3 linked regions of the Stegostoma tigrinum genome follow. The protein of the gene in region 1 interacts with the protein of each later gene in a pairwise test. Links are inferred from orthologs where the notes say so. Each region holds a gene or a part of one and is shown in the gene's direction. Other genes may lie near its edges.

Region 1 (7,649 bases):
CTTTACCTATATCCCTCATTATTTTATAAACCACTCATCAGCCCATTGACCCAATTGATTAATATATGTACTAGCACTCTCTCAGAGGTTGGAACCCAGACAGCTCAAAACATGCTTATTCCTGTATGGCAAGGAAGGATTGAACTTGAAATACCTGGAATGCCTTGCCATCATGTCAATAAACCTGGACTGAAAGGAAAGCAGAAGTGTGCTCTGAGTTTGCAGATTTAAAGAACACATACTGTAAAGTATTGACAGCAGTGGAGACACCCAATTAAATTGTTTTCTTCAGAGTAATCTGAAGAGCCACAAGGCAACATTGAACAATCACATGGAAAGGTTGAACCACAAGACAAGAATCCTTCGATGTTTTTAGGAGTACAATGATTCGAAGTGAAATAGGTGAACACCCCCCTGAAAAGAGGTAAACTCAGAAGTGGCAGAGTGTCTGCACCCAATCATCAATCCCTACCCATCTTCAAAGTTTCTGTCAAAGATGTGATACATGCACTTAGGTGGGAAAGTGCAGCTCCACAGGTGCAAAACGGCCTCAGGTCTCCATTTGAATCAGCTCTAACCCTAGATCAGTACTGTTTTATACTCAGTGCTGAACAGATCATAATGTGGAGGTGCCGGTGTTGGGCTGGGGTGGACAAGGTCAAAAATCATATGACACCAGGTTATAATGCACAGGTTTAAGTGAACACACAAACTTTTGAAGTATTGCCCTTTCCTCAGGTGTAAGGAGAGAAGTACCAAGATGCAGAATTTATATGTAAAAAATCAAAGGATTATACAATTGATTCAAATGTATTTAATACCCTACGTTAGCTGGCTGACTCCCTCCTGTTAAATCTTGAATCAGTTAGAAAGGAATTGCAGGTTTCAAATGATTAATATTCAACTCTCTGAATTTTTCATGTTAATGTCCTGAGATAACCTAAGGTTTTATCAATGAATACAAGAGGTGACATCTCAGGTCAGACAATGCCTTTTGGTGTCAGGCTTTGTTTAGAAACTATCTGTGTTTTAACGTGGAGTCAGACTGGTTTTATTTCCAAAGCAGGAATCTAGAAAATGCCCCACTGACTGACTGCATCCACAAATTGTGTGCTTTTTGAACAAAATAGAGTGTATCTGCAATTACAAATCTGCAAATGCAAATTCACCCCATAGATTTATGTTTGTGTGTGTGTGTGTGTGTGTGTGTGTGTGTGTGTGTGAGAGAGAGAGAGAAAGTGTGTGTATTTGTCTGTGTGAATATGTGTGTGTGTGCGCATGCGCATGTGTGTGTGAGAGAGTGTGTGTGTGAGAGTATAGTGTAGTGGGGTCACCTGTACTGCGAAATGAACCCAAGATCATGAATAGGTGAAGTGCAGATGTGTGCTCGGCAGATTTTCAGTCAGCCCTAGCAGTGTTCAATGCTTATCTTAGTCTGAAGGACCTCTTAATGAATGCACCCACTCCAAACGAGTAGCCAGCAGCTTTGTTACAGACGGCTGAAGACTTAAATAAGGCAGCTATATTTTGTAATGCTGCAATATTGAGGGTTGAGCTTATACGCATATGTAAGGGCATGGTCTCTGTTTCCTAAAGTCCAAATAGATTGTAGTGATTGGATCCAGGTGGATCTCATTGTCAATGAAGTCCTTGATTGGGTTTGTTAACGTGGGCCATATCTGACCTCTATAAACAAAGGATTTAGAATCTCCTCAGTCCACACCACTGGTTCGAGCTGCCTAACCATTGCCAGTGTACTGTTCACAGGTGGATAAAGGATGACTTGGTGGTGGGATACCAGTCTCTGAGCAGCTATTTCAATGATGGAGCAAGGAATCTAATGGATAAAGCAAAACTGGGTGCAAAATACAAAGCCGTGATGCAGCTTGACACAAATTTTGAACCCATAAGTTGGCTACAACCAAATGGCATTTACCTCTGCAACAGGAAACCTGTCAAAAATGAGGACAATGCAGGGGGCGCCACTGTATCATGCTGGTGTTGCGGCACAGGGAAACATCCCAAGTGCCAAGATTGTCCAGGAGGGGATGTGTCTGTGATTCAGCCCACTTCAGCAGTACAGCAATACAATCTGTTAAAAGTAAAGCAAAGAGAATCCAGCAAATTGAGCATAAAAGAAGTGGAAATTACAGATTTTCTCAGTCATTGGCGCCGCAATAGAAGATAGAAGGGTGGTATGTTGACTTACTGGTTAGCACAGCTGCCTCATAACATTAGGGACCCAGGTTCGGTTACACCCTTCGGTGACTGTCTATGTGGAGTTTGCACATTCTCCCTGTGTCTGCGTGGGATTCTTTTCACAGTCCAAAGATGTGCAGGTTAGGGGGATTGGTCATGGGAAATGTAGGGTTACAGGGGTTGGGTGGGATGATGTCTGAAGACTTGATGGACCCAATGGCCTGCTTCAACATGGTAGGGATCCTATGATAATGATCTGAACTACGGTCAATAATTCTGAAAGTGAAGAATTTCAATGCCGCCTTTATTCTTGATTTAGGAGTAACCATTACTGCGTTTCCCAACACTTTAGAATGGCTGGGAATTGTACACATTTGACCAATAAAAATCAGGGTTCAGTGTCTGGGTGATCACACCCTTTCCATTAAAGATCATTTTGAAGCAATACTTCGCAACAATGGCAAATTTGTTAAGTAGTTCATTTGATTCTCACCAAATCAGCCCAAATCCTTGAAGAGTTGACAAGTACGTGTCAAACTTGCCCTTCTGGATTGGTTATCAAATGTTCCCAGCCAGGTAAAACTCGCTCTGTGCCAAGGTAATGACTGCCTTGTGGGGCATGAGATATTGCCCCAGACTCTTCAGCAACATAAACTTTCATCCACAGAAGACAATCTACGGAGATCTCCCACAGTTTTCTCCACTTATTGAACTTGCATGCCAAGAAAACTGAAAACATCTCATGGAGAAATTTCGTAGCTTTTCGAACAGTTTGATCAGCTTCCTGAACCTACTCCAGTTGTGTCAAAATATACTATCACACTCCTGACTTATGTCTTGGTGGACATGGCTTTGGGAAGATAGGAGGTGGATTTCTCACCAAACGATTCACAGTCTCTGATCTGCTCTTGTACACACAGTATTGACAATGCCTAGTCCAAATTCAGTTTCTAGTCAAAGGTAACCCACTGGTTAGTTTTGGCCCGAGGTATGGAAGGATAAAAATAAAATGCATTTTATCCAATGCAAGTTTTATTCTGAAAACAGCAAAAGCTGGCGATCACAGTGGGTCAAACAGCATCCGTGGAGATAGGGCAAGCTAACGTTTCCAGTCCAGGTGATTCTTCATCAGAGCTGAAATGAAGTGTAGAGGGGAAAAACATTTATATTATAGTTGTTATGGGCGGGGGTGTGTGGTGGTGATGGATGTAGAGTGCTGTTGGAGAAAAGATTTGATAGTTCAAAGTTAGGGATCAGAATGTGAGAATGGCAGACCAGTTGTATATCTAACTGCCAGACTTGAAGAAGAAAGCAGTCCCAATAGCATGCCAGGAGGGGCGAGAGGACATGGTGACAGAGAATGTAACAAGTAAAACTAAAAGAAAGAGAAGAAATGGGAGTCAGTTCACAATTTGAAGGTGTTGAACTCAATATTTAGTCCAGAAGGCTGTAAAGTGCCTAGTCTGAAAATGAGATGTTGTTCCTCCGGTTTGTGCTGTGATTTGCTGGAACCAGGACAGATATATGGGTGTGCAAGCAGGATGCTGTTTTAAAAGGACCGGCTTTGGGGAGATCAGGAGTCATGCTTGTGCACAGACTGGAGGTGTTCTGCAAAGTGGTCACCCAGTCTGTGTTTGATTTCTCCAATGTAGAGTAGCCCACGTTGGGTGTACTGAATACAATACACAAGATTGGAGGTGGTACAGGTGAAATGCAGCTTCATCAGAAAGACTGTTTATGCCCTTGAGTGGTAAGCAGGGAGGAAATGAATGGGCAGCTGTTGCATCTTCACCACCATGGTTACATGGGAAGACGGATTGGGGTTAGTGGTCAATAAATGGACTAGGGCGTGCCGGAGGGAACAATCCCCGTGAAATGCAGACAGGCGGAGTGAGGGGAACGTGTGTTTGGTGTCAGTGTTCTGCTGGAGTTGTCTGAAATGGCAGAGAATGATCGTTTAAATACGGAGGCTGGTGGGAGGAAGACAAGGGGGACCGACTCATCCTGTTGTGAGTTTTGGGAAGAAGGAAGGGTGGAAGCATGGGTGACAGTCCCTGTTGACCACTATGAGTGGGAAACCACGGTTATGGACAATGCAACCATTATTTTTCAAACGTTGCTACCGGCTGGAACAGTAATCTTAACATCTATCTGCCCCTGTGCTGCACAAACTGACTACAATCCCGAACCCGTGGGTGCTTGGAGCGAAGGGTGGCTGGCGGGGTGAGGGCGGCCCTCTGGGACTTGTAGTTATCGCTCCACCGGTCGGTCGACAGAAATACTGGAGGCTGCGGTGGAAGAGGACTACAATGACCAGCATGCTTCGCGTGCCGACTGGCCCCAGTGGAGGGGGCGCGGCCTTCGATCAGCTGATGAGGCCCAGGACTCAAGCACTGCACTGGCTTGTCAGTGGGTTGCAGGCGGGCTAAAGAGCGCTCTCTATCTCTAGGCTAAGTGGGGGAAGAGAGAGGAAAAAAAAGCTTGTAGCATCTGCAAAGCTCGACGAAGGCTTGACTCTGCATTAGCAATAAATTACATATTGCATTGAAAAAAAAAATCCAGAGGCTCAAAATTAAAACAAAATCAATAACATGGACAATTCTGGCAAAGAGAAAGAAGCCATGCAACTGATGGCTGATGCAGAGAAGAAGGTGAAATCATCGCATTCCTTTCTTGGAGGTTTGTTTGGGTAAGAGCAGCATCAGTTTAGTTTTGAGTCGTGTTTTTTTTCAGGAGGTGGGATAGCCCTTCTAGCAGACAGGCTTGGGGTTAATACATACCGACTACTGCGAAGTCAAGTCCATTGGTCATGCATTTTTAAATAAAAATTCTATCAAATATTCCAGTTTTTTTTTCATATGTACTGCATCTCTATTTTGAAACATTCCGCGGATGGAGTCTACTTTGGAAATACTGCAGTGCTTGCTAGCTGCCATTTTTTTTAACCTCCAGTGGAGGAGAGAGGGATAATTTCAGATCATGTTTTGCTTGAAACGAAGGGATTTGAGGGGATTGGTGGTATTTCTCCTTTTCGACAATCTGCGGTGTCAGTATCGCGTGGGAAGTTATATAATCATCCATTGGGAATTAAACGTCTCCTTTGTGTGTGTGTTGGGGGCGGGGGACGGTGCGGTGTGGGTGGGAATTATAATTTAATTCCGTCTGCAAAATTGGTACAAAGGCGAGCTGCAGAAGATGTATGCGTCAAGGTTACGGTAGCTGTCCAGTCTCCAGTGCTGGCTCTAACTGTTACTATGTGTGGGATTTCATTGCATAACGTTACACCGTCGCCTCTCGGTACGCTCCTGGATTTGGGATTCATTTTGCACGTTGTATGGATGCTGATCAGGAGTGGTCGCATATAAAAGTCTCTGAAAAGTTCCCAAGTGGTTATGGTTTTAAGGAAATGAATTTACTGCTATAAAGACTCATTATTTCAACTGAGGGCAGGTAATTGAAATGTAATCTGTTATATCAACATTTTGAATGCAATAATATTATTTGGAAATTAGGGTAAAATAAATGGTGTTACTGAAGTGTTATTTATCCACACTGTTCCTATTGGGTGTACACATGTGAAACATAACACTTAACAGCCTATTTGACATTAAAGAAAATTTGGCTAAAAGAGTCCATTTTCTGTCAGAAATTGCTGGAAAAGCTCAGCAGGTCTGGCAGCACCTGTGAAGAGAAAGCGGGGGGTTAACATTTCAGGTCAAATGACCCATCCTCAGAACCGTTTTGTCTGTCTCCGCTTCCTTGCAGTAATGTCCCCTTGAATCATTGAAGTGGTCATTGTTTATGTGAACTATGTAGATGAGCACCAACCTGCTATTTGACCTGAGTGGCCATCACAGCCTATCCCAATGCTGTATTCACCAAATAGCTACACGCATCCACCACCCCAAACACACACTCCAGTGAGATAGGAATTGTGGGTACACTGGACAATGATTAGCAGCAGCTACACTGATAAACCATTTTCCCCCTTTAACCTAATTTTAGTGCTGCCACATTTGGCTCAGCAGATATCATGAACTCAAACAAAGACCAAGTTCTGAACTTTAGACTTTCATGATTGTAAGTTCCAGCTACTTGTTGGATTTACTTACTCAGATAATGGGAAATTCCTGGAGGTCATTTAGACATATTACACCACATTGTTTTTGGTTCTAAATGTGAGCAACACAACATTTTCTTGCAAGTACATGATTTTCAAAATTTAAAATAGCATTGAAACTAAAAGGTTGATTATGTAATAGCAAAGAGCTATTGTATAAAGTGATGTGAGACATTGGCAGCACTGGCTAAATTCTCTATATAAATCTCTTTGCCAAGATTTATTATTTCTTTTAACCACACTTTCAAAATTTTTACTATTACAAGATGTTAGTCTATACATTTGATTTTAATGAACTGATAGTATTTTGCTAAAATTAAAAAAAGTGCTGATTTTACTAACTTTGTCATTTATAATGGTTATTTTCTCATATGGAACATAACACAGGCAGGAGTGGGGTATAAGAGCCCTTCAAACCTGCTCTTCTGTTCAGTAACTAGTTGGCTATTGTTTGACCTTAAGTTCACTTTTTTTTATCCTTTCGCTTATCCCCTGATTTCCATTGAACGAATATCTATGAAACTTAGCCTTCAATGCAATGAATGAGCATCCAGAACCCTCTGAGGCAGAGAATTTAAGAGATTAATGTTGCCATCTCAATTGTAACTAGCTACCTCCATCATTCTCCAACTGACACTGTGGCCCTTACTCCTGAACTCTCCAGAATAGGAAATGGGGTCTCAGCATCTTCACTGTTGATCGCTCGCTCTCGCTCACTCTTTCTCCTCTCTCTCTCTTTCTTTCCCCTCGCGCTCTCTCTCGCTCTCTCTATTTCGCGCGATCTCTCTCGCTATCTCTCTCTCCACCCCCCCATCTCTCTTTCTCCCCTCTCTCTCTTTCTCTCCCCCCCCTCTATCTCTCTTTCTCTCCCCCCCCTCTATCTCTCTTTCTCTCCCCCCCTCTATCTCTCTTTCTCTCCCCCCCTCTATCTCTCTTTCTCTCCCCCCCTCTATCTCTCTTTCTCTCCCCCCCTCTATCTCTCTTTCTCTCCCCCCCTCTATCTCTCTTTCTCTCCCCCCCTCTATCTCTCTTTCTCTCCCCCCCTCTATCTCTCTTTCTCTCCCCCCCTCTATCTCTCTTTCTCTCCCCCCCTCTATCTCTCTTTCTCTCCCCCCCTCTATCTCTCTTTCTCTCCCCCCCTCTATCTCTCTTTCTCTCCCCCCCTCTATCTCTCTTTCTCTCCCCCCCTCTATCTCTCTTTCTCTCCCCCCCTCTATCTCTCTTTCTCTCCCCCCCTCTATCTCTCTTTCTCTCCCCCCCTCTATCTCTCTTTCTCTCCCCCCCTCTATCTCTCTTTCTCTCCCCCCCTCTATCTCTCTTTCTCTCCCCC
Region 2 (7,440 bases), on another chromosome or scaffold:
TGGAGGGTGTGATTTGAGAGGGCGGAGGGTGTGATGTGGCAGGGATTGGAGGGTGTGATGTGGGAGGGATTGGAGGGTATGTGAGAGGGAGTGGAGGGTGTGATTTGAGAGGGCGGAGGGTGTGATGTGGCAGGGATTGGAGGGTGTGATGTGTGAGGGATTGCAGGGTGTGATGTGAGTGAGGGTGGAGAGTGTGATGTGAGAGGGAGTGGAAGATGTGATGTGAGAGGGAGTAGGGGGTGTGCCGTGAGAGAGGGTGGAGGGTGTGATGTGGGAGGGATAGAGGGCGTGATGTGAGAGGGTGGAGGGTCTAATGTGGGAGGGATTGGAGGGTGCGCCGTGAGAGAGGGTGGAGGGTGTGCTGTAGGATGGAGTGGAGGGTGTGATGTGGGAGGGTTTGGAGGGTGTAATGTGAGAGGGTGGAGGGTGTGATGTGGGAGGGATTGGAGAGTGTGCCGTGAAAGAAGGTGGAGGGTGTGATGTAGGATGGAGTGGAGGGTGTGATGTGGGTGGGAGTGGAGGGTGTGATGTGGGACGGTGTGGTGGGTGTGATGTGAGAGACTGGAGGGAGTGATGTGAATGAGGCTGGAGGATATGATGTGGGAGGGTATGGTGGGTGTGATGTGAGAGAGCGTGGAGGGTGTGATGTGGGAGGGAGTGGAGAGTGTGATGTGAGCGAGGGTGGAAGGTGTGATGTGAGACTGGGTGGAGGGTGTGATGTGAGAGGGTGGCGCATGTGATGTGGGAGGGCGTGGAGGGTCTGATCTGAGAGGGATTGCAGGGTGTGATGTGAGTGAGGGTGGAGAGTGTGATGTGGGAGGGAGTGGAGGGTGTGCCGTGAGAGAGGGTGGAGGGTGTGATGTGGGAGGGATTGGAGGGTGTGATGTGGGAGGGATTGGAGGGTGTGATGTGGGAGGGATTGGAGGGTGTGATGTGTGAGGGATTGGAGGGTGTGCCGTGAGAGAGGGTGGAGGGTGTGATGTGGGAGGGATTAGAGGGTGTGATGTGGGAGGGATTGGAGGGTGTGATGTGGGAGGGATTGGAGGGTCTGCCGTGAGAGAGGGTGGAGGGTGTGATGTGGGAGGGATTAGAGGGTGTGATGTGGGAGGGATTGCAGGGTGTGATGTGGGAGGGATTGGAGGGTGTGCCGTGAGAGAGGGTGGAGGGTGTGATGTGGGAGGGATTAGAGGGTGTGATGTGAGAGGGTGGAGGGTGTGATGTGGGAGGGATTGGAGGGTGTGATGTGGGAGGGATTGGAGGGTGTGATGTGGGAGGGATTGGAGGGTGTGCCGTGAGAGGGAGTGGAGGGTGTGATGTGGGAGGGCGTGGAGGGTGTGATGTGGGAGGGATTGGAGGGTGTGATGTGGGAGGGATTGGAGGGTACGTGAGAGGGAGTGGAGGGTGTGATTTGAGAGGGCGGAGGGTGTGAAGTGGCAGGGATTGGAGGGTGTGATGTGGGAGGGATTGCAGGGTGTGATGTGAGTGAGGGTGGAGAGTGTGATGTGAGAGGGAGTGGAAGGTGTGATGTGAGAGGGAGTAGAGGGTGTGCCGTGAGAGAGGGTGGAGGGTGTGATGTGAGAGGGTGGAGGGTCTGATGTGGGAGGGATTGGAGGGTGCGCCATGAGAGAGGGTGGAGGGTGTGATGTGGGAGGGATTGGAGAGTGTGCCGTGAGAGAAGGTGGAGGGTGCGATGTAGGATGGAGTGGAGGGTGTGATGTGGGTGGGAGTGGAGGGTGTGCCGTGAGAGAGGGTGGAGGGTGTGATGTGGGAGGGTGGAGGGTGTGATGTGGGAGGGATTGGAGGGTGTGATGTGAGAGGGAGTGGAGTGTGTGATGTGGGAGGGCGTGGAGGGTGTGATGTGGGAGGGATTGGAGGGTGTGATGTGGGAGGGATTGGAGGGTATGTGAGAGGGAGTGGAGGGTTTGATTTGAGAGGGCGGAGGGTGTGATGTGGCAGGGATTGGAGGGTGTGATGTGTGAGGGATTGCAGGGTGTGATGTGAGTGAGGGTGGAGAGTGTGATGTGAGAGGGAGTGGAAGATGTGATGTGAGAGGGAGTAGGGGGTGTGCCGTGAGAGAGGGTGGAGGGTGTGATGTGGGAGGGATAGAGGGTGTGATGTGAGAGGGTGGAGGGTCTGATGTGGGAGGGATTGGAGGGTGCGCCGTGAGAGATGGTGGAGGGTGTGCTGTAGGATGGAGTGGAGGGTGTGATGTGGGAGGGTTTGGAGGGTGTAATGTGAGAGGGTGGAGGGTGTGATGTGGGAGGGATTGGAGAGTGTGCCGTGAAAGAAGGTGGAGGGTGTGATGTAGGATGGAGTGGAGGGTGTGATGTGGGTGGGAGTGGAGGGTGTGATGTGGAACGGTGTGGTGGGTGTGATGTGAGAGACTGGAGGGAGTGATGTGAATGAGGCTGGAGGATATGATGTGGGAGGGTATGGTGGGTGTGATGTGAGAGAGCGTGGAGGGTGTGATGTGGGAGGGAGTGGAGAGTGTGATGTGAGCGAGGGTGGAAGGTGTGATGTGAGACTGGGTGGAGGGTGTGATGTGAGAGGGTGGCGCATGTGATGTGGGAGGGCATGGAGGGTCTGATCTGAGAGGGATTGCAGGGTGTGATGTGAGTAAGGGTGGAGAGTGTGATGTGGGAGGGAGTGGAGGGTGTGATGTGAGAGGGAGTGGAGGGTGTGATGTGAGAGGGTGGAGGGTGTGGCTTGTGAGAGGGTGGAGGGTGTGATGTGGGCGGGAGTGGAGGGTGTGATGTGAGAGGGAGTGGATGGTGTAATGTGGGAGGGATTGGAGGGTGTGATGTGAGGAAGTGGAGGGTGTGATGTGAGAAGGAGTGGAGCGTGTGATGTGAGAGGGGATGGAGGGTGTGATGTGGGCGGGAGAGGTGGGTGTGATGTGGGAGGGAGTGGAGGGTGTGATGTGAGAGGCTGGAGGATATGATGTGGGAGGGTATGTTGGGTGTGATGTGAGAGAGCGTGGAAGGTGTGATGTGGGAGGGATTGGAGGGTGTGATGTGAGCGAGGGTGGAAGGTGTGATGTGAGACAGGGTGGAGGGTGTGATGTGGGTGGGAGTGGAGGGTGTGATGTGAGAGGGAGTGGATGGTGTAATGTGGGAGGGATTGGAGGGTGTGATGTGAGGAAGTGGAGGGTGTGATGTGAGAAGGAGTGGAGCGTGTGATGTGAGAGGGGATGGAGGGTGTGATGTGAGAGGCTGGAGGATATGATGTGGGAGGCTATGTTGGGTGTGATGTGAGAGAGCGTGGAAGGTGTGATGTGGGAGGGATTGGAGGGTGTGATGTGAGCGAGGGTGGAAGGTGTGATGTGAGACAGGGTGGAGGGTGTGATGTGAGACAGGTTGGAGGGTGTGACGTGAGAGGTATTGGGGCGTGTGATGTGAGAGGGATTGGGGCGTGTGATGTGAGAGGGTTGGGCGTGTGATGTGGGAGAGATTGGAGGGTGATGTGAGAGAGGGTGGAGGGTGTGATGTGAGAGGGATTGGGGGGTGTGATGTGAGAGAGGGTGGAGGGTGTGATGTGGGAGGGAGCAGAAGGTGCGATGTGAGAGAGGGTGGAGGGATCTGGAATGTGCTTCCTGCAAGTGTGAAGGACTTGGTCTCATGAGAACTTTTGTTTTGAAGAGCATTATTCCATCAAGGCAACACTGCACTGGAGCATGAGTTTCCTCCCTTAATCCAAAGATGTGTTGGATGGATAGATTGGCCACTTCCCATGGCCAATCCACCCAACCTGCTCATGTTTGGAATATGGGAGGAAACCCACGCAGACATAGGGAGAATGCTTAACTCCACACAGTCGCCCCAGGATGGAATCAAACCCTGGTCCCTCGCTCTGAGAGACCATGCCTCCCTGACAGAGGAAGAATCTCCCCATTTTAAGGGACCATGATTAGGGAGAGCAGAATCTTATTGAAAACACAAACATTTTATCGAAGCTTTATTCCCTGCACTTGTCGGGACAAAATGCAAGAACACCAAACCTGGAACCCTCACAACAATTGACGCTGTTGGAGAGAAGGGTGGTCATTGTGTGGGCAAGTTGACTCCAATAGGCTAAAACATTGCCATGGAGAAGGAAATGGGGAACTAGAAGGCTTCAGGGTAATTCACATGAAGAAGTCACAAGGATTGAACATGTTCCTTTAGTTTGCAGAGGACAGGTCACTGTGTTTTGTACTAGAAGGGGTTATGTATGGAGTGCCAATGGAACACAGGCAGCATCCTCACAGGTACTGATGGGCGGGACAGGAGTTTGTGGGCGGGGCTTGGGGCTCTGGCCGTGTGAGTAGAGCAGCCTGTGCGCCTGCGCTGGTGGACGTGGCAGTCACGTGGGCTTGTCAGTGACGCCAGTAGGGCTCGAGCGCCGGGCCTTTCAGTGAGGGGACGGTAAACAGATACTGTAGAGAGGGTCAGAATCAGTCGGACTTCGAGCCCGCCGTGGTAAGTGTTTCGGTGTCCAATCTTTCCTCTTAATAGATACGTAAGCTAGAGGGCGGAAGAATTAAGTTTTTAAAATAGCCGGCTTAGAAAATATCAGAGGGAGCTGCATCCGGCGCAACCAAACTTGGGAATCCAGCCGGAGAAAGCGTGGTCCAATCAACGACCAAGTGGCGCTAGGATATGACCAATCGGCTTCTGAAGGGGGCGGGATGTTTGCACTCAATACTAAGTTTGGTTGAGAGTTCTCTTTCCCCCCCCCCACGATCACTGGGGGTGCGCACCCTTATAAAGCCTCCACTTTTTCATTTTACACACCCCCCCACTCTTATTCCTCCATCCCCAACTTCACCCCACTTTCATATGAAATTTGTTCTTTCTAAAAGCAAATTTTTTGTTTCCTCCTACGATCTTCACCCCCGCAACAGTCCAAACTCTTCTCTTCCCCCCCCCCCCCGACCACCTGCCAAATAATAACTTCATTACCACTCTCTCACATCAGTTGAATTTTGCTGCCCCCCCGCCCCTGGTGTCCAACTGTTCTCGCTTCCCCCACTGTTGTCTGACAGTTCTTGCTGCATTCCCCCCCTGCGTCTGATGGTTCTTGATCCGCCCCCCCCCCCCCGTTGCCTGACCAGTTCTTGATCCCCCCCCCCGTTGCCTGACCAGTTCTTGATTCCTTCCCCCCCCCCCTGCTGTCGTCTTCTGACTGTTCTCGGTTCTCTTCCCCCCCCCCCATGGTTGTTGTCCAATGGTTCTCAATTCTCTCCCCCCCCCCCCAAACCATGGTCATCATCTGACCATTCTCGATTCTCCGGCTTCCCCCCCCCCCCCCCCGTGGTCGTCGTCTGACCATTCTCGATTTCCTCCCACCATGGTCATCTGACCGTTCTTGATTCTCTCCCCCTCCCCTCAACATGGTCGTTGTCCGACCGTTCTTGATTCTCTTCCCCCCCCCAACCGTGGTGGTTGTCCGACCGTTCTGGATTCCTCCCGCCCCCCAACCATGGTCATCCGACCATTCTCAATTCTCCCTCACCATCCCGGTTGTTGTCCGACCGCTTTCGATTTCGTCTCTCCCCCCCCCGCCACCATCATTGTTTTCTGTCTGTTCTCACCCTGTCCCACCTCCAACCCCCTGCTTTCTTTAGTATTGCGAGGTGCAGGGTTAGTTTGTGCCCACTCAAGAAGGTAGTGTTACAAGATCTTTGTTCGAGCTTCTTGCTTGTCGAAGTGTTACGCCAGGGATGTCATTGAGTGAGCCACCAAGACTGTGGACTTGAGTCACCCAGACAGGGCTCAGACTGACCAGAGTGTCTGGAGTTTTGTCTTTCTGACAGATGTTAAACCTTTGCACCCCCTGAGGTAATCGGGAGGTGAAATAAAAGAGGGAACTGTATCTGGTGCAACCAAAGCAGAGAATTATGCTAGCCAGTGACATTGTCCAGTATGGGTCAACAGGAGATGAGACTGGTCAATATCAGTCAATATTTCTGTTGAGAAAGTTCTCTGGCACTGTTGGACAAGTAGGAGGTGCAGAAAGTTCATTCTTCCTGTGAAGCCCCATCACTAAAGCAGATTGTTTCTGCATGTGGCATCTTTCTGCACACAAACCATTGCTTGTCAGTTTCATTCATAAGGTCGCAAAGAGCTTTGGGCATTCTGGCCGAGTAAAAGTGCTGCTACATAAATGCAAGCTTTTTCTCCTTTGTTCGGCTTAAATTGTTGTAGGATGTGACTGTGCAGATGGAAGCCATTCAACCCTTCATACATGTGCCCAGGTGATGAAAGTTTGCTCGGAACAAATGATCTGAGGTGTCTTTGAAAAGTTTCTGACTGGTAGACGCAAGATTGGATTTCTGACTTGCATTAGATAGCATTGCATCTGTCAAATTACAACTTACTGGAATTGGTCCTCGTTTATCCTGTGTGAGGTTGTAGGGCTCTGGTGTCAGTTGATCCAGGCCAGTAATTTGTGGGGTCGGCAGTTCCAGCAGTCAGATTGGCATCTGTGCTGATTAGGGAATGCATGAAAATAGTTATGTTGGCTGGATTAAGGGATAAGAAGTGACTTAATTGAAACCTACAAGATCCTAAGGGGACTTGATGTGGTGCATGTAGACGGGAGCTTTCCTCTTGAGGGAGAATCTGCAACTAGACAGAAAGTAAGGTACCGCCCATTGCAGAGATGAGAAGGAATATTTTTCTGAGGGATGAGAATCTTTTAGCTCTTCCAAATAGCAATGGTCAATAATTTGGCTTTGAGTGTATGTTCGTGCAAGAATCAGTAAACCAGGGAAGGGGAAATCTCTGTAAAATGTAAACACTTCATGGGTGTGATCCTGTTTCTTGTTCCCATTTTGATCAGCCTTTGCATTGCGTTTTGTCTCGGAAATATCTCCATCTTTCCAGATTTAACCTTGCCACGTTCCTGTTACAGGGCTACAGGAACTGAACTGGCAGTGTAGGCCTGAGGGGCTGAATGGCCACCTCCTGCTTCTGTGAACCCTTCCTTTCATTCACACTGATCATACTTGCTCCGTAACTCCATCTTATCTCACCTTCCCTTGCTCGGTAACTCTTAAACCCTTTGCCTGATAAAAATCTATCAATCTCCATCTTCAAATATCTTATCATTCCAGTTCCAGAAAAGTAGGGGAAGAGTTCCATGTTTCCACTGCTCTTAGTGTGCAAAAGCACTTACTAGCAACACCCCTGAACAGCTTGGCTGTCATGTTGCTCTGACAGAGGCCTTCAACACTGTAGACTGTGAGGATCTATGGAAGATTCTGCTGCAGTATGGGCATTCTGCAAAGTTTATTGCCATCCTTTGTTTGCATATTGTTATGAAGCAAGCAATGGATCTATTATTGACCCCTTTTAGGTGAAGACAGGCAAAGTTATGTTAGCCCCCCAGTTCTTTGATCTTCCAAGCTGCGGTGCTCCATCTAACTAGAGACAGGCTCCCTGCTGGAGTGCAGTTTGT
Region 3 (7,378 bases), on another chromosome or scaffold:
AGATGCAAGATAACAAGGTGTACAGCAGGATGAACACAGCAGGCCAAACAGTGCCAGAGGAGCAGGAAAACTGACATTTCAGGACGAGACCCTTCTTCAGAAATGGGGGAGGGGAAGTGGTTTCTGGAATAAATAGGGAGAGAAGTGGAGGCGGATAGAAGATGGACAAAGGAAAAGATAGGTGGGCAGGAGACTGACAGGTCAAAGAGGCGGGGGTGGACCCAGTAAAGGTGAATGTATTCGGGGAGTTAGGGAGGGGATAGGTCAGTCCAGTGAGGATGGACAGGTCAAGGGGGTGGGATGAGGCTAATAGGTTGGAGATGGGGTGAGGCTTGAGGTGGGAGGAGGAGATAGGTGGGAGGAAGGACAGATTAGGGAGGCGGGGACAAGCTGGGCTGGTTTTGGAATTCGGTTGGGGGAGCAGAGATTTTGAAGCTTGTGAAGTCCACATTGATACCATTGGGCTGCAGGGTTCCCAAGCAAAATATGAGGTGCTGTTCCTGCAACCTTCGGGTGGCATCGTTGTGGCACACCGCAACTCTCCCATAATTTCTTCGGCCCTGAAACTGCTTAACCATGTTCTGAAGCAAACCAGGTACTACAGCCACATTACCTTATTAATATGCAAAATCGGTTTGAAGGTAGGAGACAGAGAGTAGTGGTGGAGGGTTACTTTTCAGACTGGAGGCCTGTGACCAGCGGTGTGTCACAAGGATCAGTGCTGGGCCCATTGCCTTCTGTTATTTATATAAATGATTTGGATGTGATTATAGGAGTTTGGTTAGTATGTTTGTAGATGATGCCAATATGGGTTGTGTAGCGGACAGTGAAGAAGGTTACCTCAGAATTCAACAGGACCTTGGTCAGATGGGCCAATGGGCTGAGGAGTGGCAGATTGAGTTTAAGTTAGGTAAATGTGAGGTGCTACGTTTTGGAAAGGCAAATCAGGGCAGGACTTAATATGCATAACGGTGAGGTCCTGGGGAGCGTTGCTGAACGAAGAGACTTTGGAGTGCGGGTTCATAGTTCCTTGAAAGTGGAGTTGCAAGTAGACAGGGTAGTGAAGAAGGCATTTGGTACACTTGGTTTTATTGGTCAGTGCATTGAGTATAGGAGTTGGAAAGTCATGTTGCAGCTGTACAGGACATTGGTTAGGTCACTTTTGGAATACTGCTTTCAATTCTGGTCTCCCTGCTACAGGAAAGATGTTGTGAAACTTGAGGTGGTTCAGAAAAGATTTATAAGAATGTTGCCAGGGTTGGAGCCTTTCAGATATAGGGAGAGTCCGAAAAGGCTGTGGCTATTTTCCCTGGCATATCGGAGGCTGAAGGGTGACCTTATAGAGGTTTATAAAATCATGAGGAGCATGGACAGGCTGAATAGTCAAGGTCTTTTCCCCAATGTAGGGGAGTCCAAAACTAGAGGGTGTAGGTTTAAGGTGAGAGGGGAAAGATTTAAAAGGATCCTAATGGGCAACTTTTTCACACAGAGGGTGGTGCATGTATAGAATGAATTGCCAGAGGAAGTGGTGTAGGTTGGTAGAAGTACAATATTTAAATGTATCTGGATGGGTATAGTAATAGGATTGGTTCAGGGGGATATGGACTAGATGCTGGATAATGGGACTGGATTTATTTTGGGTACTCGGTTGGCATGGATGAGTTGGACTGAAGAGTATTTTTCCGTGATGTACATCTCTGTCAGTCAGTGACTGTAAGTTGGAATTGTTTTACTTGGAGGTAAGAAGGCTGAGATCAGATCTGAATGAGGTTTTCAAAATCCTAAGCAGGCTGGAGAGAGCAAATAGTGTGAAGCTGTTTCCACTTGTACTAGAATGAGAGGGCACAGATTTAAAGTGATATGGAAACAAAGCAAGGGTGATGTGAGTAAAAGTTTTTTTACACAGTGAGCAATTAGGGTACGGAATGTGGTATGAGACATTCGACAGTGCATTAGATTGCTTTTTGGGAAGTAATCATACCTAGGGAAATGGGGAAAAGGCATTGACCCTCCAAACAGCATTCCACCTAGATCCAGCACCCCCACCTTATCCCCAAAATGCCACATTTACCACACTAATCCACCTAACCTGCACATATTTGGACTACGGCATGAAACCAGAGCACCCGGAGGAAACCCATGCAACACAGGGAGAACGTGCAAACTCCACACAGACAGTGACCCGAGAACGTAGGTCCCTGGCACTGTATGGCAATAGCACTAACCACTGAGTTGCCCCTTTTTATTCATGGCATATTTAATCTTGAAGAGATCAAAACTCTTTACTATCTTAAAAACTATGTTAATGCATCTGAAAATATTTTGTAACCTCTGTAGTCCATGGACATGTTGAAGAAGATTCTGGTCTCCCACCATTTTCATTCCTGGCTGTAAAAGTGGTTTTCTGTGGGTTGAAATTGAGCTCATGTTCCACCCTGATGGCTCTTGAAGTGGATGTCTTACCAGGCTATATGAGAGGGCAGCCAAGAGTCAGTCACATTGCTGTGGGTCTGGAGTCACATCAAGGCCAGATAAGCCAATGATGGCAGATTTTGTTCTCTAACGGACATTAGTTAAACAGATGGATTTTGACAATTCATGGGCATCACTGAGACTAGATTGAAGCAAATGTATGTTATCTCTGTCAGTTGTAGTGGTCAGATATGAGCCAGTGTTTCCAGAGCTTGGGCTTTTGGATGACTGATCAGTGACACCACCACTAATCCACTGCCTCCCTGAACATATGCTGACTTCCGGTACAGGAGTTGTTAAAAAAATTGATTACTTCATAGGATGCAGGCATTACCCAGCAAGGCCAGCACTTGTTGCCCAATCCTAACTGCCCTTAATATGGCCATTTCAGGAGCAGTTAAGAGTCAACCATCTGCCAACAGTCTGAAGTCACATTGTAAACCAGACCAGGAAGGACAGCAGACTTCCTTCCCTAAAGAACTTTAGTGAACCAGATGGGTTTTTATGACATTCAGTAATAGATATTATGGTTGCTATTAATGAGGCTGACTTCCTATTCCAGATTTTTATTAATTTAATCTAAATTCTGACAACTGCCCTGTCAAGGTTTGAATGCTTGCTCCCTAGATTATAAACTCAAGCCTCTAGATTGTGGTGCTAATGATATTACCAATGCACCACCATCTCCGCAAGCTTGTCAGCGCTGTGGTTCAGTGACCCTTTGAATTCTGTGTCTGATACTACCTCTCTCACTAAAACCCAAAAAAGGAGTGAGGCTCTGAAAGCTTGTGTTTTCAAATAAACCTGTTGGACTATAACACAGTGTCATGTGATTTCTGACCTGATGAAGAGCACACTTCGGGAGGCAAAAACCTAGTGGAATTATTGCTGAATTGTTAATCCAGAGACTCACACAATGTTCCAGGGATCTAGGTCTAAATCCCACCATGGGTGACAGTGAAAATTGAATTCAACAATTTAAAAAAAACTGGAATTAAGAATCTAATGATCACCATGAATCCGTTATCAAATGTCAGGAAAACCCCATCTGGTTCACTAATGTCCTTTCGGGAAGGAAACTGCCATCCTTACCTGGTCTGGCCCACATGTGACTCCAGGCCTATAACAATGGCTGATTATCATAAAAACCCATCTGGTTCACTGAACTTATTTAGGGAAGGAAGTCTGCTGTCCTTTCTGGTCTGGTTTACAATGTGACTTCAGACCTCTGGGTAATTAGGGATGGGCAGTAAATTCTGGTCCAGCCAGTGACAACTTCATCCCATCCATGAATAAAGGAAAAGAAGGCTTCAAGTGAGGCTTAAATAGTATCAGAGATAATGGGAACTGCAGATGCTGGAGAATCCAAGATAATAAAATGTGAGGCTGGATGAACACAGCAGGCCCAGCAGAATCTCAGGAGCACAAAAGCTGACGTTTCGGGCCTAGACCCTTCATCAGAGAGGGGGATGGGGAGAGGGAGAGGCGGACCGGCTCCCCATCCCCCTGTCTCCCTATTTATTCCAGTTCCCTCTCCGATGAAGGGTCTAGGCCCGAAACGTCAGCTTTTGTGCTCCTGAGATGCTGCTGGGCCTGTTGTGTTCATCCAGCCTCACATTTTATCATCTTCAAGTGAGGCTTACTTGGACTGGAGAATTGCGTACTTTCACGATAAGTTGCTTAAAGTTTGATCAGTAGTACCACAGAGACCGAGCCTGAGGCCCACGTACCAAGACTACAGGCCCCGACAGGGAGAATGAGTGCCTCAGCTGAGAAGACATTCACCTCCGGAACCTTTCGCCGAGGTTACAGTCGGTATCTTTAGGCAGTCGGACGCGTTTGTAGTTTCCGGGTGCTGCAGGTTTTCTCTTCCCCGGAGTGGTTTCCGGGTGTTGCAGGCTTTCTCTTCCCCGGGTTGGGGATAGAGGGAGCCGGTTGACTAGGGAGCAGCAGCAATGGCGACCCGCAGTCTGACCGATGCCTATGTGCTGATGCGGAACCGAGCGGCCCAGAGCCGGCAGCTGCTGGCCGAGCAAGTGAGTACAAAGCCGGGACAGGCCGGCGGCGGCAGCAGCGACGCTGCGGTGAGTCCCAGTCCCTGTGTTAGTGTGTGAGCCGGGAGAGGGGAGCAGCAAGCTGGGCGGGCAACCAGGCCTGGCACCGACACTGGGCAATATGACCCATTGAGGCAGAGTCTAATCATAACCCTCCACACCAGAATGTAGGTGTATAGCATTGTTATAGAATCTACAGCTATGGAATATTTTTACATAACTGCTACGTGCTATATGTTATAAAATGTACATGTCATTATACATAATATCATTACAAAGGATCAGGAGTAGGCCATTCGGTGCCTTCACCTGTTGAGGGGTCACAGAGACAGGGGCCAGTTCACTTCATAAGCAACTCACTCAGTCCTGTTTCTTCTTAGCCCAACATTTTCCACACACACACACTCTCTCACTCTCTCTCTCTCTTTCTCTCTTTCCAGATGATCATCTAATTCCCTTCATATAGTCAGGATTGCCTCAGTCTCCGCCTAAATCTCGGGTGGCAACTTCCAGATCCTGACCACCTGTCGCTGAAGAGATGATTTTTTTCCTCCTGTCACCTGTGGTTTCTGTTGTCATTGACCTAAAATCAGTGTCCACTGGCTCACCCTCTTCCTGCCAATCAGAACAGATTTTCCCATCTGCTGTGTCCATACCTTTTGTGATTTTAAACCACATCTGTCAATATTCTCTGCTAGGAAAACTGTCAGTTTCTCAAATTTACCCACATAACTGAAGTTTCTCATCTTTACTATAATGCTCTTAAATCTTTTCTGCACATTCCATGTAAAGTGTAATGCCTAATGTTGTAGACAATATTCTAGTTGAGGCTGATCCTAAGTTGTTATAAAGGTCCACAATAGCATCCTTGCTTTTAGACTCAATGCTTTCACTTATAAAACTTATTTCACTTATAAAACTTGCTTTATTTCACCACATCCCACCTGCAGTGATTCATCCGTATAAACCCCAGGTTCTATGCCACGTCTTGAACTGTATTCTTTTTGTTATACTTCCCCTTGTTTTTACTCATACTAGATGTATTTTTCTTTTCTGCATTAAATACCATTTGCTGTTTGTTGGTGTATTTCACCAGTCATGTCCTCTTGATTTATTCTGCTCACAATTCATTATACTCACGCATTTTGTTATTTGGCACCCCCACTTTGTCCAGTCTAGAAAACAACTGTTCCCCACAATTAATTCCTGTCACGAAGCCAACTTTGTGCACATGCTGTCACTGACCCTTACTTTGACTTTGCTTTAACTTGGACTATAGCATTTTTACAATACTGAGTTAAGTAGCAGATGGCAAATGCTTATGAAAACATAGTTGTAGTGTCACATCAACGTTGTATTGTCCTGTATTCTCTAATCTCTTCTGTTTACTCTGAACCTTCAACCTTGTTCTAGGTTGTATTATCCATATGACACAAAATACGCATGGTGGCTCGATGGTTAGCACTGCTGCCTCAGCGCAAAGCACCTGTGTTCAGTTCCACCTTCGGGTAACTGTCTGTGTGGAGTTTGCACATTCTCCCTGTGTCTGCGTGGGTTTCCTGAGTGCTCCGGTTTCTACCCACAGCCCAAAGATGTGCAGGTTGAGGTGGATTGGCCATGCTAAAGTTCCCACAGTGTTCAGGGATTTGTAGATTAGTTGGGTTATTGGGGAATGGGTCAGGGTGGGTTGCTATGAAGGTTGTGGACTTGTTGGGCTGAAGGGCCTGTTTTCACACTTGGGATTCTGTGATTTCTGAGATTTCATTCATTCGTGGGTATTGCCAGCATTTAGTGTTAATTCTTAATTTCTTGAGGAAGTTGAGTCAGTTATCTTGCTAAGGGCGTTAGTGAACTGGATGGTTTATATTGCAACTATCAACGTGGTCACAGATTATGTACTCCTGGCAAATGTGGCTCATCAATATTAATCAACATTATCTGGATATCATTAGGCTAGCTTTTATTCCAGATTTTTATTGATTTCAAATCAGACCATCTAGCATGGTGGGATTCAAACTCATGCCAAGCGGAGGCTTAGGGACAAGGCTTTGCAGAACACCTACGCTCGGTTCGCAATAAACAACTGCACCTCCCAGTGGTGAACCATTTCAACACCCCCTCCCATTCCTTAGACGACATGTCCATCCTTGGCCTCCTGCAACCCGAAGGTTGCAGGAACAGAAACGCGTGTTCCGCTTGGGAACCCTGCAGCCCAAGGGTATCAATGTCGATTTCGCCAGCTTCAAAGTCTCCCCTCCCCGCAACTGCATCCCAAAACCAGCCCAGCTCATCTCCGCCTCCCTAACTTGTTCTTCCTCTAACCTATCCCCTCCTCCCACCTCAAGCCGAACCTCCATTTCCTACCTACTAACCTCATCCTGCGCCTTGACCTGTCCGTCATCCCTGGACTGACCTATCCCCTCCCTACCTCCTCAACTCTACTGGCTCCGCCCATTTAACTTGTCTGTCTGCTCTACACCTATCTTCACTATCCATCTTCGATCTGCCTCCCCCTCTCTCCCTATTTATTTCAGAACCCTTTCCCCCTACCCCTTTTCTGATGAAGGGTCTAGGCCCGAAACGTCAGCTTTTGTGCTCCTAAGATGCTGCTTTGCCTGCTGCATTCATCCAGCTTCACACTTTGTTATCCCTAGATTGTTAGCTTGGGTTCTGTTTTTTCAGTCTGCTGACTTGACCATGACATTTTTTACCATCTGGGAACTCTGACTTTATTTCAGCTACCTTATCCCCTTGTGGAAATGGACTGTGACTGTACCTATACCATCTCCTCTTTACATTGTTACGCTGTTTTGTATGTCAGTCTTTTTGGTTCAAGTTCATTTTAATTCCAT

The links.
Region 2: the proteins of napbb (region 1) and stx5a interact in binary tests that used the Homo sapiens proteins (3 or more experiments, as listed by UniProt). The two-hybrid records come from large-scale screens. The link is inferred for Stegostoma tigrinum from reciprocal best matches to the Homo sapiens genes NAPB and STX5.
Region 3: the proteins of napbb (region 1) and stx16 interact in binary tests that used the Homo sapiens proteins (3 or more experiments, as listed by UniProt). The two-hybrid records come from large-scale screens. The link is inferred for Stegostoma tigrinum from reciprocal best matches to the Homo sapiens genes NAPB and STX16.

What each region holds. Positions count from the first base shown.
Region 1 is NC_081362.1:11,143,059-11,150,707, forward strand, and holds the start of napbb (N-ethylmaleimide-sensitive factor attachment protein, beta b), read left to right. Parts: upstream 1-4,561; 5' UTR 4,562-4,790; coding exon 4,791-4,888; intron 4,889-5,399; exon of another isoform or gene 5,400-5,649; intron 5,650-7,649. UniProt on the Homo sapiens protein: Required for vesicular transport between the endoplasmic reticulum and the Golgi apparatus.
Region 2 is NC_081395.1:11,926,512-11,933,951, reverse strand, and holds the start of stx5a (syntaxin-5a), read left to right. Parts: upstream 1-4,342; 5' UTR 4,343-4,457; intron 4,458-7,440. UniProt on the Homo sapiens protein: Mediates endoplasmic reticulum to Golgi transport.
Region 3 is NC_081372.1:60,523,567-60,530,944, reverse strand, and holds the start of stx16 (syntaxin-16), read left to right. Parts: upstream 1-4,358; 5' UTR 4,359-4,427; coding exon 4,428-4,508; intron 4,509-4,536; exon of another isoform or gene 4,537-4,556; intron 4,557-7,378. UniProt on the Homo sapiens protein: SNARE involved in vesicular transport from the late endosomes to the trans-Golgi network.